Drosophila melanogaster: one gene and its partners. The protein of the gene in region 3 interacts with the protein of the main gene of each other region in a pairwise test. Each region holds a gene or a part of one and is shown on either strand. Other genes may lie near its edges.

Evidence for each region.
Region 1: the proteins of slou (region 3) and CG17666 interact in a two-hybrid assay, tested with the Drosophila melanogaster proteins (one large-scale study listed by BioGRID).
Region 2: the proteins of slou (region 3) and Mst87F interact in a two-hybrid assay, tested with the Drosophila melanogaster proteins (one large-scale study listed by BioGRID).

The regions. Positions count from the first base shown.
Region 1 is NT_037436.4:12,779,701-12,784,981, reverse strand, and holds CG17666 (uncharacterized protein), read right to left. Parts: upstream 3,658-5,281; 5' UTR 3,521-3,657; coding exon 3,465-3,520; intron 3,408-3,464; coding exon 1,713-3,407; intron 1,679-1,712; exon of another isoform or gene 1,595-1,678; coding exon 1,292-1,594; intron 1,238-1,291; coding exon 673-1,237; 3' UTR 605-672; downstream 1-604. Other genes in the region: CG10969 (uncharacterized protein), read left to right, coding at 3,961-5,281.
Region 2 is NT_033777.3:13,826,547-13,829,810, reverse strand, and holds Mst87F (Male-specific RNA 87F), read left to right. Parts: upstream 1-1,802; 5' UTR 1,803-1,979; intron 1,980-2,124; exon of another isoform or gene 2,125-2,232; intron 2,233-2,322; 5' UTR 2,323-2,340; coding exon 2,341-2,511; 3' UTR 2,512-2,660; downstream 2,661-3,264.
Region 3 is NT_033777.3:21,554,161-21,559,104, reverse strand, and holds the start of slou (slouch), read left to right. Parts: upstream 1-1,922; 5' UTR 1,923-2,246; coding exon 2,247-3,473; intron 3,474-4,314; coding exon 4,315-4,573; intron 4,574-4,944. UniProt on the Drosophila melanogaster protein: May play a role in specifying the identity of particular somatic muscles and neurons of the CNS.

The DNA of each region.
Region 1 (5,281 bases), on a different chromosome or scaffold from region 3:
ACAAGAGTCCATATAGTCGTAAGATAACCATAATATTATATATATGTTTACATATATGTACAACACGAAAGCTAACCAAGCAAACCACATTACATAACGTAAAGGGCAATATGCAAGCCAAACTCAGTTTAAATCTATGTTTAAAGGAGGAAGCGGGAGAACCCAGATCCATATATCATGTGCTAGAATTTCTCCGTAGTTTTAATGCCTATTTTCTTATTTAACAATCTAATATTCCCCTATTATTATATTATAAACATACCATACAATATTGATGGCTGCACTACACAAACATGTTTACAATGTGCTATGTTCATAGTTTTTAGTTAGGTCTTTTCTAAAACAACTTTAAAGATGTATTTAATTTTATGACAAGAAATTTATATTTTAAAGAAACTTTTTAAGTTTTTCTACAAGCAAAGCCCACAAAACTTTCGAAAAAATCTATATATGTATATGGTATACAAAAGAGAGAAACACATAAAAGAGTGTATAAAATGAAAAAGAAACAAAATACCGATTTGAACTAATAAAAAGTACTAAGGAAAATCGTAGAAATATGCCTGTTTTTAAATTATAAACAATTAAAAAGGAAGAGAAAAGTGCATTCCAAAATGTTCTTTATTTTGAGATAGGCTTGTGTGAAAATGTAAAAAATATTCAACGTTTAATTTAGACATGGTGCACGCGGCCGATGTTGAAAGGAGGACCTTGGTTATTCCGTTGATAGTTCCGATGACTATCCACACAGCCAGCCTTCCACCGCCCACTGTATGGAGAGCTGAAGTGTGGCGAGGCAGTCGGAGAATAGCCCGGCATGGTTGAAACCTCTTGCCTTGGGCATTTCCAGGGTGCAAACGTAGAAGGCGGAGCACAGCTTCCCAAACTCACAGCCGTGCCGCCGGAATTTCGCGTGCTATTGGACGATCTGTCTTGCCTTTCCTTTTGCTTCGGCTTCGGAGGAATCTTCTCCAGCTGAGCAGCAGGGGAGTTGCTGCAACAGCAACCGCACGGACTGCAGCAGTAATTGCAGCAATTACGACAGCCATTGCAGCAATTCGCGCAGTAGTAGTAACAGCCGGTGCAGGGATTATAGTACCAGGACCAAGGACATTGGTTCGAGCAGGGCATGCAGCAGGTATTTACTGGAGCTGGAGCATGATTGCAGGGTACTGGTGGAGGATTCGAGGGTGCTGGTGGAGGATTCGAGGGTGCTGGTGGAGGATCTTCGTTTTCCCTGCGAAACGCATTAATTACTCCTTGATGGAAGTGGACAGAAGTGGGTACTCACTCAGGCAAATTGGCAGAGCAGCCGCAGGTGCGCATTTCTTTTGTCGGAGGCGTTGGACATGGTTTCTTGCAGTTACACGGGCAGTGGGCATCCTCGTCTTCTGGTGTTTCCTGTGGTGATGCTACGGTACCTTCTATTTCGTTGCTGCTGTGCTCGCTCATCTTGTTCTTGACTTTTGAGCCATTCGATTTCTTATTCTTCTTGGCAGACGGTTTCGCTTGCTTTTTGCTCTTGTCCTTGTCCTTCGGCATCAGGAGGTGACACCACTTCTGCAGGTCACACGGAGGACAGGACTCGGTGAGGCTGCAATGGATACGGAAGACATTACTTCGTGTTCGATTAAAGATGTGTGCCGAATGGTGGATTGAGTAAGCCTAATTCGAGAGCTGTAATAGCTCACGAACTCTGACATTAAACTCACCGGCTGAGAAGCTCAAGGCAATTCTTTTCCTGCGTCTTCTTTTTTCCAGAGTTCACATTTTCTTCCGGTGGACAATCAGATTCTTCGGAAACGTAATGAGGATAGTATTGATTGTTGGGATCGAACCGAGTGCAGCAGCATTTAGTGGATTTCTCCTTCGATGGTTTAAAGCTTGATGGAACTTTATTCGAATTTTTATCCTTTTTGGGTCCTGCCTTCGATAAGTTTGGTGCACTTGCTGCTTGCGTTCTATTCACGTCATGTCCTGGCTGAGCATAAAAAGGATTATGGTCTTGGACAAATGTGGCATTAAGTGGAGCGCATTCATTGTACGGATAATACTGATTGGATGGATCAATGCCCATGCCCACCCTCTGCTGGTCATAAAGTACGGGTTGTCGATTGGTAGGTGCTCCTACAGATTTATTACGATTTCTTGAATCGTACGATCTGTTGTTATCACGAGAACGCACTTCACCAGCGGATGCCATTGACTTGGGCGCGGACCTATGATCTACATTTCTATCTCCACCACTATTAGAATGATAATTGGTTGTGGCTCTACTGGCTTGTGGTTTTCCGGAACGACCTTCCCTCGACTCATTTCGGTGACTGAGCGACTTGGACCTCTGAGCACCTGGACTAGCATGAACATTTTCAGGAAAATTATTATTGGCATAAGCTCTGCCTGATCGATCTCCCCTAGATGGGCTTCGTTGATTTGGAGATTTAGATCTGTTGTTACCATGAGGCAGTTGCCCCTTTGATGACTCCAATTGGGGAACTGGCCTTGAATGTGTGGCTTGACTCTGCTGGTTATAGACTTCAGATCTGTTAGCACCAACATGAACTTGATTCGTTGATTGGGGAACAGTATAGCTATAATTCTGATTGTTGGGCTCACAGTTCATTGGTTGATTATTTCGGCCATAAGCTGGTGCACTTCCTCCTGAGGTAGGAGTGACTGGCATTTGATTTATTGGACGTTGTTGGAATGTTGCATCGAATGGAATATACTGACTATTGGGGGCACAGCTCATGCCTAAACCCTGTATAAATTGATTATAGGAAGGTACTTGCGCCGTTCCTTGTGGCCTTCCAGGTGGCATTTGGCGATCTCCGCATTGGTAGACTTCTCCGGTACAGGGATTAAACTTATTTGTGTACTGTGTGGGTAGACCTGCCGCTGGAATAGATCTTGGATCACCCTGACCTACCGAGGATGGTGGAGCCACTGGTAGAACTATGGGACCAGGTACACCAAAGCCTCCATATTGAGTCGGTGGCGGGATACCAAAAATCATTGGATTTCCTGTCGGTCCGTAAGTTCCATAACACGGAATAATAGTCGGTTGTCCCGGTTGGAAGCCAAAGCCTGTTCCGTAGGCTCCAGTTCTAGCTAGATCGTCTTGCGCGCAATCTTCAGGATTCTTGCATCCATTCTTACCATCTTGACATGGATTCTCACAACTCTCCGCACATGCATCCATGTTTAAACACGGATCCTTACAATTGTCCCCACAGGCTGAGCAACTTTTCGATCGTTTCCTTTTCTTTGGGCGCTCTGGCGTCTTTAGAAGAAAACTGGGCGGCACCATGTCCGAAAACTTTTGGAACTCCCCAGAAAACACGACGCGACAATTCCTCATATTAGAGGAACAAGATCGCTCACAGCAACTTGGTCGAGGACAGCACCTGCGGATGAGTATAAATGCAATTGGGTTGAGACACTAACTATATTCTTATACTTACCAGCCATTGCCATGGCAGCTTATGCACCTCCTTAAATATCGACATGGATCGCACATTTTCAACTCCTGGTTCTGTTTAAAAGTCCACCTTCACTCATGGTCAATTACGAAGAGTACACAAACATAACATCGGTAGTCAAAATCATAAAAAAGTAGAAGTAAATGGTACAATTTATATTTTTGATGTCCTAAACTAAGACTATATTGTTAAAATCATTGCATGATCAGTTGTGATAAAACAACGTTTTGAAAGTGGTGCTACCATCTTCATATATGTGTTCTTTACAGATTATAATATGATATGAATATAAGAGAAACCTTGTAAACAAAAAGACTTCCTTGGTTTATTTAACTTACTATTTATGTCGACCAAAACTCTCTTTTTAGTTTTGGTCAAAAAAATGACATTACAAAATTCTTTGTCACGCCAAAAAACAAATTTAAACGGAAGCATTGTATAACTGAGACAAAAAATTGTATTTGGGAAAAAAGAAGAAATGCCCAATGACGGAGTCAAGTCAACCAGGCCCAGTCCCTATTGGCGTCATGCGAGTCCTCCTCCGAGGAGGAACATAGCATCGGAGCAATACAGCAATCGAGTCGGACAGCAGCTGGTGCGAGCCCTGGCTCAGAGCTTACCGTCTGGACAGGAAGCCGTGCGTTCCCGATCATCCTGCCCACCAACACCTCGTCGTCGCCGGCAGGCAAGTGTCTGCAGATCGATGGGAAGTCCAGAGTTTGTGCCATTGATGTCGCACAGTAAGCCCAAGGCATCGGTTCGATTGAAGGCGGGTATGCCGGTGAAACCAGTGTTGGGAGGAGATCCACCCAATTCAAAGACTCCTGGTCAGTCTATGATGGCCTCAGCCAAACGTCGCAATGAATCCCCCACAGTGAAGGCAAAAAGCAGGGAAGAAGAGTTCAATAAGATACCAGAGCTGGTTAGTGAGGCATCCGTCGCCAAGGCCAGAGAAAAAGAGTTCGAAAAGATACCTTCCGGAGTTCCGAGTTTGACCGAAGAAAACAAGCAAACAGAAGTGAAAGACACAAATAATTCAATCCCGGAAACGCATGAGAACTTGAAACCGGAAACGAAAACCAATTTTATAATAGAGGAAGAAAAGCCCACAGAATGTATACCAGAAACGGAACCGAAGCCATCGAACTCGAAGATAATTCCCTGCTTTCGAGGAGAGTATCCCACACGACATCGTCCTGGTACTTGCCAATGGTTTCAATCCGACGTCCCCAATTGCGGAAATATCGTGACCATATGCGATGAGGAACACCAAATTATGGGTGAAGCGGAAATAGTCACCGCTTGCCAGGTTACCGAAGCACATTTCCTCAGCCTCGATTGTGAAAATGATAACATGAACAACGAACCGCCATCGATTTCGAGGTGCAATAAGTGCACGGGTTGTCCGCAGCAACAGAATGGTAATTGGTTTGGACAGCAACGATCTTGTCCTCAGCAGCAACAACCTTGCTTTCAACAGCAACAACCGTGCTTTCAACAGAAACCATCTTGCTTGCAGCAGAAACCATCTTGCTTGCAGCAGAAACCATCTTGCTTGCAGCAGCAACCATCTTGCTTCCAGCAACAGCAACGAAATTGTGGACGAAATCCACCCTGTCCCAATGTGAAACCAAAAGGATGTCTCAAGTGTCAGGAGCAGCAGCAGTCTGGCAAAGCATTTGCATACAATTTGCAGCAGTCGATGCAGCAGCAAGTTCTGCCGCAGATGCAGAATGTGTATCCTTGTCAGCAGCTTCAGCAAGTGAATACCTGTGATCAAATGGAACAACAAATGCAAC
Region 2 (3,264 bases), 7.7 Mb from region 3:
ACGTGCCCAGAACTACCATTACCACTTTCCATTGGATTCTCAGGTTTCCTCTGTGCACCTTCAAATTGATCGGCAAGAAAACGAGCTGCAGCATTCTTCAACTTTGATTTAGACATCTAAATAATATTTAAGTTAACATCAGAGTACTATGTATGTATGTACATATATCCGACTTTCAGAACTGCGCCTTACTTTTCCTTTTTAGCGATCAGCTGCCACTTTTTAGGGGGCGGCACGTGCTTTCTTCACTTTCGTCGGCTTCTCGGGTTACCTGAATCCGCCGTTTACCCTTTCGGTCGCTCCTCACCTTTGGCCCCATTGACGGCCACGCCCCTAAAGTCATTATGGCGCACACTTAGGGATAGGCGGATATTGATTTCCCTGGGCTGACTGGCAGTACTCAGCGCTTTCCAGCCGATGATGATGACATCTGCGTGTGCCCATTGTGTTTCACTTTTCATCAAACTTATATTAATAAGTTGATGCGAGGGGCCATAATTAAAGCGAATTCGATATTTCCGGCCGGAGGAAAGACATTTGGTTCACTGAACCCAATAAAAATCCTTGAACTCCCGTCGCCAGACGAAATACAAAATATTTGTATACATATGTATTGCCAATAATCTATTTCAAACAAAGGCCAGCCACAAATATGAACGAAAAAACTAAGTTAGAGCAGCGTCTGCTGCCCTTTTGGCGGCACCCTCACAAAATTATTGACCAGAGTTCCATCCATCTCGAGTTTGAAAAAAAAAAACCAGAGAGCCACAGAGAGAAAAATTCAATGAAAGTCATTTAACCACATTTAGGTGGTAAGAAAATAATTATTTAAAATCTGCTACCGCTTTCCGATTCGATTGAGACGCGCTTCGTCACTAAGTTCGCTACTAGATTTATGTAACTAAGTTTGATTCACTTTATATTAGACACTTTGTAATATAAGCTAGATTTGTATTTAATATATCTTACTCTACTCTTGTTCACATTTCTTTGAGACGCCTTTCGTCACTACGCTATATATTTTTTCTATGATAGTGATTTTTCACCGTGCCGAAACAGAACGACTTTGAGTTGGACTTGTCCGTCTCCTCGGATGCGAGATTCTACCCAAATATTTCTGCTAGAAGGGAGAGGACTTCTGTGCGGTTTGACGACGGGGTTTTTGCTTCGGTTTCTGCCTCTGCTGATCGACACACACACAAATACATACATACATTCTAATCAACATGCGGCAAAACATATAATTCGAATTTTTGATATTTCGCCCGACCATTTTGCGAAGAAAATTGCATTTAAACGCCTATTATGCGCTTTTTATTTGCAACCCATACTTTTCTGCCCGAATGCTCCGGCTGACTCAGTCATGCACAAATACAAATCATTGTATAATCATTGTGTATAACACTAGGGTTCCATTTTGGAGGCTGGCGAGCTCTGTCAACTGGTCCACTAGGCTTCCTGCTTTTCGGGAGTTAATTAAATCCGAAATCGTAAAATCGTTAGCAAATGAAATAAATTGCGCTCAATTACACCGAGTGACATCCAAGGCGCAATCGCTGGTGATTGACCTCTTTCAATGCGACGACATTCTTGGCTCGATTCGGCTGGGGAAAAAAACCAAGAAAAAACAAAATAAAAAACATAAGCAACACAAGTCTTCGGTCAGATAATGAACTTAATATACACTTGCATATATAGTATACCCGTTCAGCCCCGATACCCGGATTCTCGGCAATCGGCAATCGGCTATGCGCCATGCACTTAATCAAAAAGTACGACAAAATCAAGAGTAAACAAAAGTGCAGCGCAGAACTCGACTTGAGAACCGGCAGCGATTCGAACTTCAGCCGGGTGCAATGAACACATGATCCGACAAAACAAAAATTTAAATCTCATTTACCTCGTTTATATGTTACAGTGCACTGGAAAAATAGTGGCAACTTGATGCGTTCCTACCAAGTTGGATGATAACTACATAGGTAGGATCGAAATATAAAGGTTAATTCACATGAAGATTGAGCATTTCCCTACTTACAATACAATCATTATAAGCTTTAGCCAATGCTTTAAACAAAATATTTTATATAGTATCCTTTGCCTCTTCAGTCCGACTTGTCAAACCGATATACCTGTGCGTAACCAGATTTTGTATCATTATTATTTGTCCTTTCGGCCTGAACACATCAAAATTTGTCGTCTAGTCTCAAATTATTTCTTTTTGTTCGGTTCAAAGTGAGTGAAAATAAGTGAAAATTTACAAAAATGAAAATGTGTAAAAAATTCCTATGGCATATCATTTAAACGTACCTTTTCTCCCTTCAGAACTTTTACGAATTAATCATGTGCTGCGGACCCTGTGGACCCTGCTGCGGACCTTGCTGCGGACCCTGCTGTGGTCCATGCGGACCATGCGGAGGAGGATGTGGACCCTGCTATGGACCGAATGTCTGCGGACCATGCTATGCCTGTGGACCCTGTGGCGGCTGCTATTGTGGATACCCTTGCTGCTAGACAGTTGCAACTGGCCATGTCCAAGAAGGGTTCACCAGAACACCAAGACGATAGGATAGAACCTATCCCTATTTCATCCTCGTATTCATCTAATATTCGTGAACCACAAATATAGGTATTTGAGACAATAAATATGAGGTGTAAGCTTCAAGAAGGTTTGGTTTTTGATTAGTGATAATAGTCAAATGCAATTTGCTTAGCCAAATATCTGATTTTAGAACACAGATACAGATGTTTAGACGCAAATGCGACCTGAATTAGAATCGATCCGCAGTCTTCTAATGCGATGTGGTCGACCTTGACGTTTCGCCGAGAGTTTATTGTCCTTTCAATAGAACACGCTAAATAAAACTTATTTAAGCAGGTACATACATATTTAACCCGCACACAGTCATGCATGTTCTTGTGTTTTTGTTTTTATTTTTATTTTTATTTTACTTTTGTGTATATTTACTGCACTAATTCTGCGACGAACTAGTTTCGGCACAGCGGATTCCGATTCCTGAATTCCGAGCGGTATTAAACGACGGCGAAGCGCAAAAAGTCAACAAAGTGCATATAAAAAATATATTTAAATTTACCCGAATGCCGCCGTCTCCAGTCGCCGATCCGATCCCCCTGGAGATGACCGCCCCCCCCCCCCCACCCCTTTTTGGCCATATTTCTGGCCAACTCCAGCCAATCCGAAACCATCATCAGCTGACTGGATCTACGCGCGCGCCTTTTTAATTGCATCGTTTTTATTTGTGCGAC
Region 3 (4,944 bases):
CGAGAGTGAGAGGGAGAGAAGGCCACATGCGACAGCAAGAGCAATTTTCCGCTTTTCCGCAGCGCCAAAAGTTTGATGTCTATGTAAACAGCGGCTTTCGTGTGTGCGTCTGGCGAACTGCCAATTTTGCCGGCCCACTCACACACTCACACTTATGCATACATGCACACATACATATGTATGTATATGGACATTCTATAGCGTGTTCCGTATACGTCGGCTGTTTGAGCGCACTTAAATAATGAATAATGACGAGACAAGCAATTAAAATAATTTGCGGTTTTACCGTGCGTATGCGCATCATTTAATTTTGCATGTAAAGAGTTAAGCACTTATTACACAGCGAGAAACGGGCCCAGCCAAAGGATGATGTCCCACTGTCGTGGATGAGCAACCGAGTGTGATAATGCGCTGAGTGCGGAGTATAGTATATACGAGATTCCGCCATCAATGGGCCAATTAAAATGAGTGCCCGACGCTCTGGTGTTGGTGGCCAGCATCTTAAAACTAATTAAAACGAAAAACGGCATAACAAGCTGCTCATTAAGCATCCGAGTTCCCTTCGCCACCCCGATCTGCGGTTAATTATAGAAGGAAGAAGACGAGCCTTGCTAACGAGCGGCGAAGTGAAGCCAGTGGATATATAGAAGCAGTAGCTAACACCCAACATTCCAGCGTTGGAGTTCATTAAGCAGCGCCCGGTGTCCATTTAACGATGTCACTTATACGCCCCATTGTCCCCACAACCAAAAACGAATCAGAAGAAAAACCCCCAGAGCCGAGTGGCCTATCCCCAGTGAACCAGGCATCCAGCTATCCATTCATTCACCCCTCGACCACCCAGCCCGCCCCACTGAAGGCCACTGCTGCGATGCGTATAAACCGCAAATTGGATGCGATATTAAATCGTCTGTGCCAAAGCGCATATAAATTTTTGTTCAATTTTAAAGAATTTTCCGAGAGCGAGCAGGCGCAGGAGTAAGAGAGAAAGAAGCCCGACGAAAGAGAGAGAGAGAGAGTGCGAGCAGAAGAGCACGGCTATAGTGTGGCTGTCCCCCTCGAACGCTTTGAGTTTTACATAGGAAGTGTCAAGGAGAAAAACCACAAGGATGTGTTTTTTTTTCGTTCGAATAATAAAAGAGAAAGAAATCAAAAGCGAAAAGTAAATAAACCAACTAATTAGCAACATAATTACGGCCACGAAAATATTCAAAAATTCAATTAAGCTGAAGAAAGCACAAAGCATTCATGCATAAATGACTAAGAACAAACCAGGCATGCCAAAAGCAAAGCAAACTCAACACACAACTGGCGAAAATATGAAACAGAAAAACATATAGTACAAATAAATAAAAACAAGAACTGAGAGAAATGTGCAAAAAGTTGAGATCCATTTCGCAAGCACCCAACCGCATAAACAAACAAATTTTGCGCTAAATAATTTGACAATTACTCACATCCTCGGGAGGCGAAGGCTGCACGGATGGCTGGACAGCTGGCTGGCTAGCTGCGTGGCTGTATGGCTGGCCTTTGTTTCCATCGGGTGGCTATTACAGTTGAGTGAAGAACTATGTAAAACAGCACTCCGGAATCCTCTCCTCTCCTCTCCTCTCCTCTTCTCACGCGCTCGCATCCTGCCGCTCTGTGGCTTAGACTTGCGACAGACCATTACATTTGCTAACGAGTGGAAGGCAAATTAAATCATTAGATGCTAGTAGAGATTAGAGCCACGGCGGGGAGGAGCCAATCCACTCAAAGAACCACTCAGCGGTGGGCGTGTAGAGCGCCGCACAGAGAGTCACTCAAAGCAAAAACCACCACCATACCACGATAACTGCCTCCACCACCACCACCACCACCACCATAACCAGCACTACCACCAGAAGCAGAAGCAGCAGCAGCAGCAGCATCAGCATTTAGCTATTGACTTGCCACAGGCACACAACACGGCACATCTGTTGGATTAAGAACTCGGAGAAATCGGAAACAACCCTCATCATTACGCTTCTGGCTCTTGAGCGTGTGAGTCGTCGCGCGCGGATTACGACCAGGATAATCGGACGTCGGACGACGACGGCAGCAGCGGCAGCATAGGCAGCGTCCACGTCGGATATTGGCATCTCCGGATTCAGTCGATTGGCTGCCCTCAAGGTGACAAGACACGCAACGCGCAGTGAACACTCAGTGAACTCGAACTCTCAGTGAACGCCCAGTGAATCCAAGACAATATATCCAAAGACCCAAAAATGGTCATGTTGCAATCGCCGGCGCAAAAGGCCAGCGATAGTGCGTCAGCCCAAAACACAGCCGTCGGTGGCCTGATGAGTCCCAACTCGAACCCGGACTCGCCCAAGTCCAACACCTCGCCGGATGTGGCGAGTGCGGACAGTGTGGTGTCCGGCACAGGCGGTGGCAGCACTCCGCCAGCGGCCAAGATACCCAAGTTCATCATCAGCGCCAATGGCGCAGCGGTGGCGGGAAAACAGGAGCAGGAGCTGAGGTACTCCCTCGAACGGCTCAAGCAGATGAGCAGTGAATCGGGCAGCTTGCTCAGCCGCTTGAGCCCCTTGCAGGAGGACTCCCAGGATAAGGAGAAGCCCAATCACAACAACAATAACAGTCTAACTAATCACAATGCAAACAGCAATACACGTCGCTCGCAATCCCCTCCAGCATCGGTGGGATCCGTAAGCTTCTCCTCGCCAGCCCAGCAGCGAAAGCTCCTGGAACTGAATGCTGTGCGCCACTTGGCAAGGCCGGAGCCACTGCAGCATCCTCATGCGGCCCTGCTGCAGCAGCATCCCCACTTGCTGCAGAATCCGCAGTTCCTGGCCGCCGCCCAGCAGCACATGCACCATCATCAGCATCAGCATCACCAGCATCCCGCACATCCGCATTCGCATCAGCATCCGCATCCACACCCTCATCCGCATCCCCATCCGCATCCGTCGGCGGTCTTTCATTTGAGGGCTCCCAGCAGCAGCAGCACTGCCCCACCCTCGCCGGCCACCTCGCCCCTGTCGCCGCCCACATCCCCGGCCATGCATTCCGACCAGCAGATGAGTCCACCCATCGCTCCCCCCCAAAATCCGCCACATTCCTCGCAGCCACCACAACAGCAGCAGGTTGCCGCACCATCGGACATGGATCTCGAGCGGATTAAGCTGGTGGCTGCGGTGGCAGCCCGCACCACTCAAGCTTCCAGCACCTCCGCCTTGGCGTCCGCCTCGAACTCCGTGTCCAATGCCAGCATCTCCATCTCCAACTCCAGCTCCGGATCGCCCAGTGGACGCGACTTGAGCGACTACGGATTCCGAATACAGCTGGGTGGCCTGGCGGCGGCGGCAGCTGCTGCGGCGGCCACCTCGCGTCAAATTGCAGCAGCCACATACGCGAGGAGCGACACCAGCGAGGAGCTCAACGTCGATGGCAACGACGAGGACAGCAACGATGGATCGCACAGCACGCCGTCGGTAAGATAACTAGATTTCAGTGCACTAAGTGCAAGGATTTCGTAAAATCATATAGAAAAAGTTTAGATTAAATGTTTTGTGATTTTAATATTAAGGTGTGCCAATTATACAAAATGGATTTATTAAAATACTGGTTCTAAAATGAAGGCTGTTAGTGAAAATTTGAAAACTTAAATAGCAAATTTATTATTAATGTTGATATTTATTGCCCACACAATTGGTAGCTTTTATTAGCGTTGGCTAATACAAATTGATTTTATGTTCTGCTCAATTAGCTTTTTTATTAGATTTTGCGTTCGAGTAATTAACCCAATTAACACTTGGTCGAGAAAATATGCCAAAATTAACCTTTTTGTATGTTTATAGCTCGATTTTGAGATTTTCATTTTGTTTTTAAGCGTGTGGTATGTTGAGGAATTTGATTTATATCTATAGATTTTTATTTATAATTGGTATACTTTTCCAAATATATTTTTTATATTTTAGTTTAACTAAATTATATCACCTAGGACAACTAAGGTACACAAATTTTAAGTAGTTTACCAGTCGGTGATTAAGGTATTCCTTTCAACACTCAATTTAAAAACTTACCAAGAAAAGGCAACTGGTTCTTAATTAAAGCTGTTATCGAAATAATTATTTGACTCATTTTTGCAACAAACCATCTTTACAAGGTAGAAAATTATTCAAAACAATTAGTTTTTAAGATCAGTTTGGCAATTAAACGTAGGATTTATTCAATGCAAAGTGGTGAATATTGCTAGCAAATAAAGAGCAATAATTGCTGTCAATGAATTCATTACTTAATTCTATATCCCTACTTTCCCCTATATCCTTGTAGGTCTGCCCAGTGGATCTGACGCGATCGGTGAACAGCAGTGCTGCGGCGAATCCGAGTTCGGCCTCCACGAGTGCCTCCAGTGATCGAGATGCGGCCACAAAGCGGCTGGCCTTCTCCGTAGAGAACATACTGGATCCGAACAAGTTCACGGGCAACAAGCTGCCAAGTGGTCCTTTCGGCCATCCCAGGCAGTGGAGCTACGAGAGGGACGAGGAAATGCAGGAGCGATTGGATGACGATCAGAGCGAGGATATGTCTGGTGAGTGGGGATATTTATTACTCAACTGACTTAGACCCCGGCCCCACACCCAATGAGTCCGCAATCACTTTGATGGTTAGCTGTCTGATTTGATTGAAATCGGGGGAAATTCAGGACACACCAACCAGGCACGTTCCCCCGAGTGTCTCTGTGCAACACTCCGTGCTCGAGTACACGGGCAATGAAAGGGGATGGGCAGGACACCTGCAAACAGCTCGACTTCCCATCCGCATCTTCTGTTTTTTCTGTGCCCGGGATTCCTGTGGGTGGTTGAAGGCACATGTTATATTTATACTGCTGCTTGTATCGTTTTTGGGTATGTTTTGATTTTGAATTTGGCTTTCCGTTTTGCCAGCAGCACCCTCGAAATC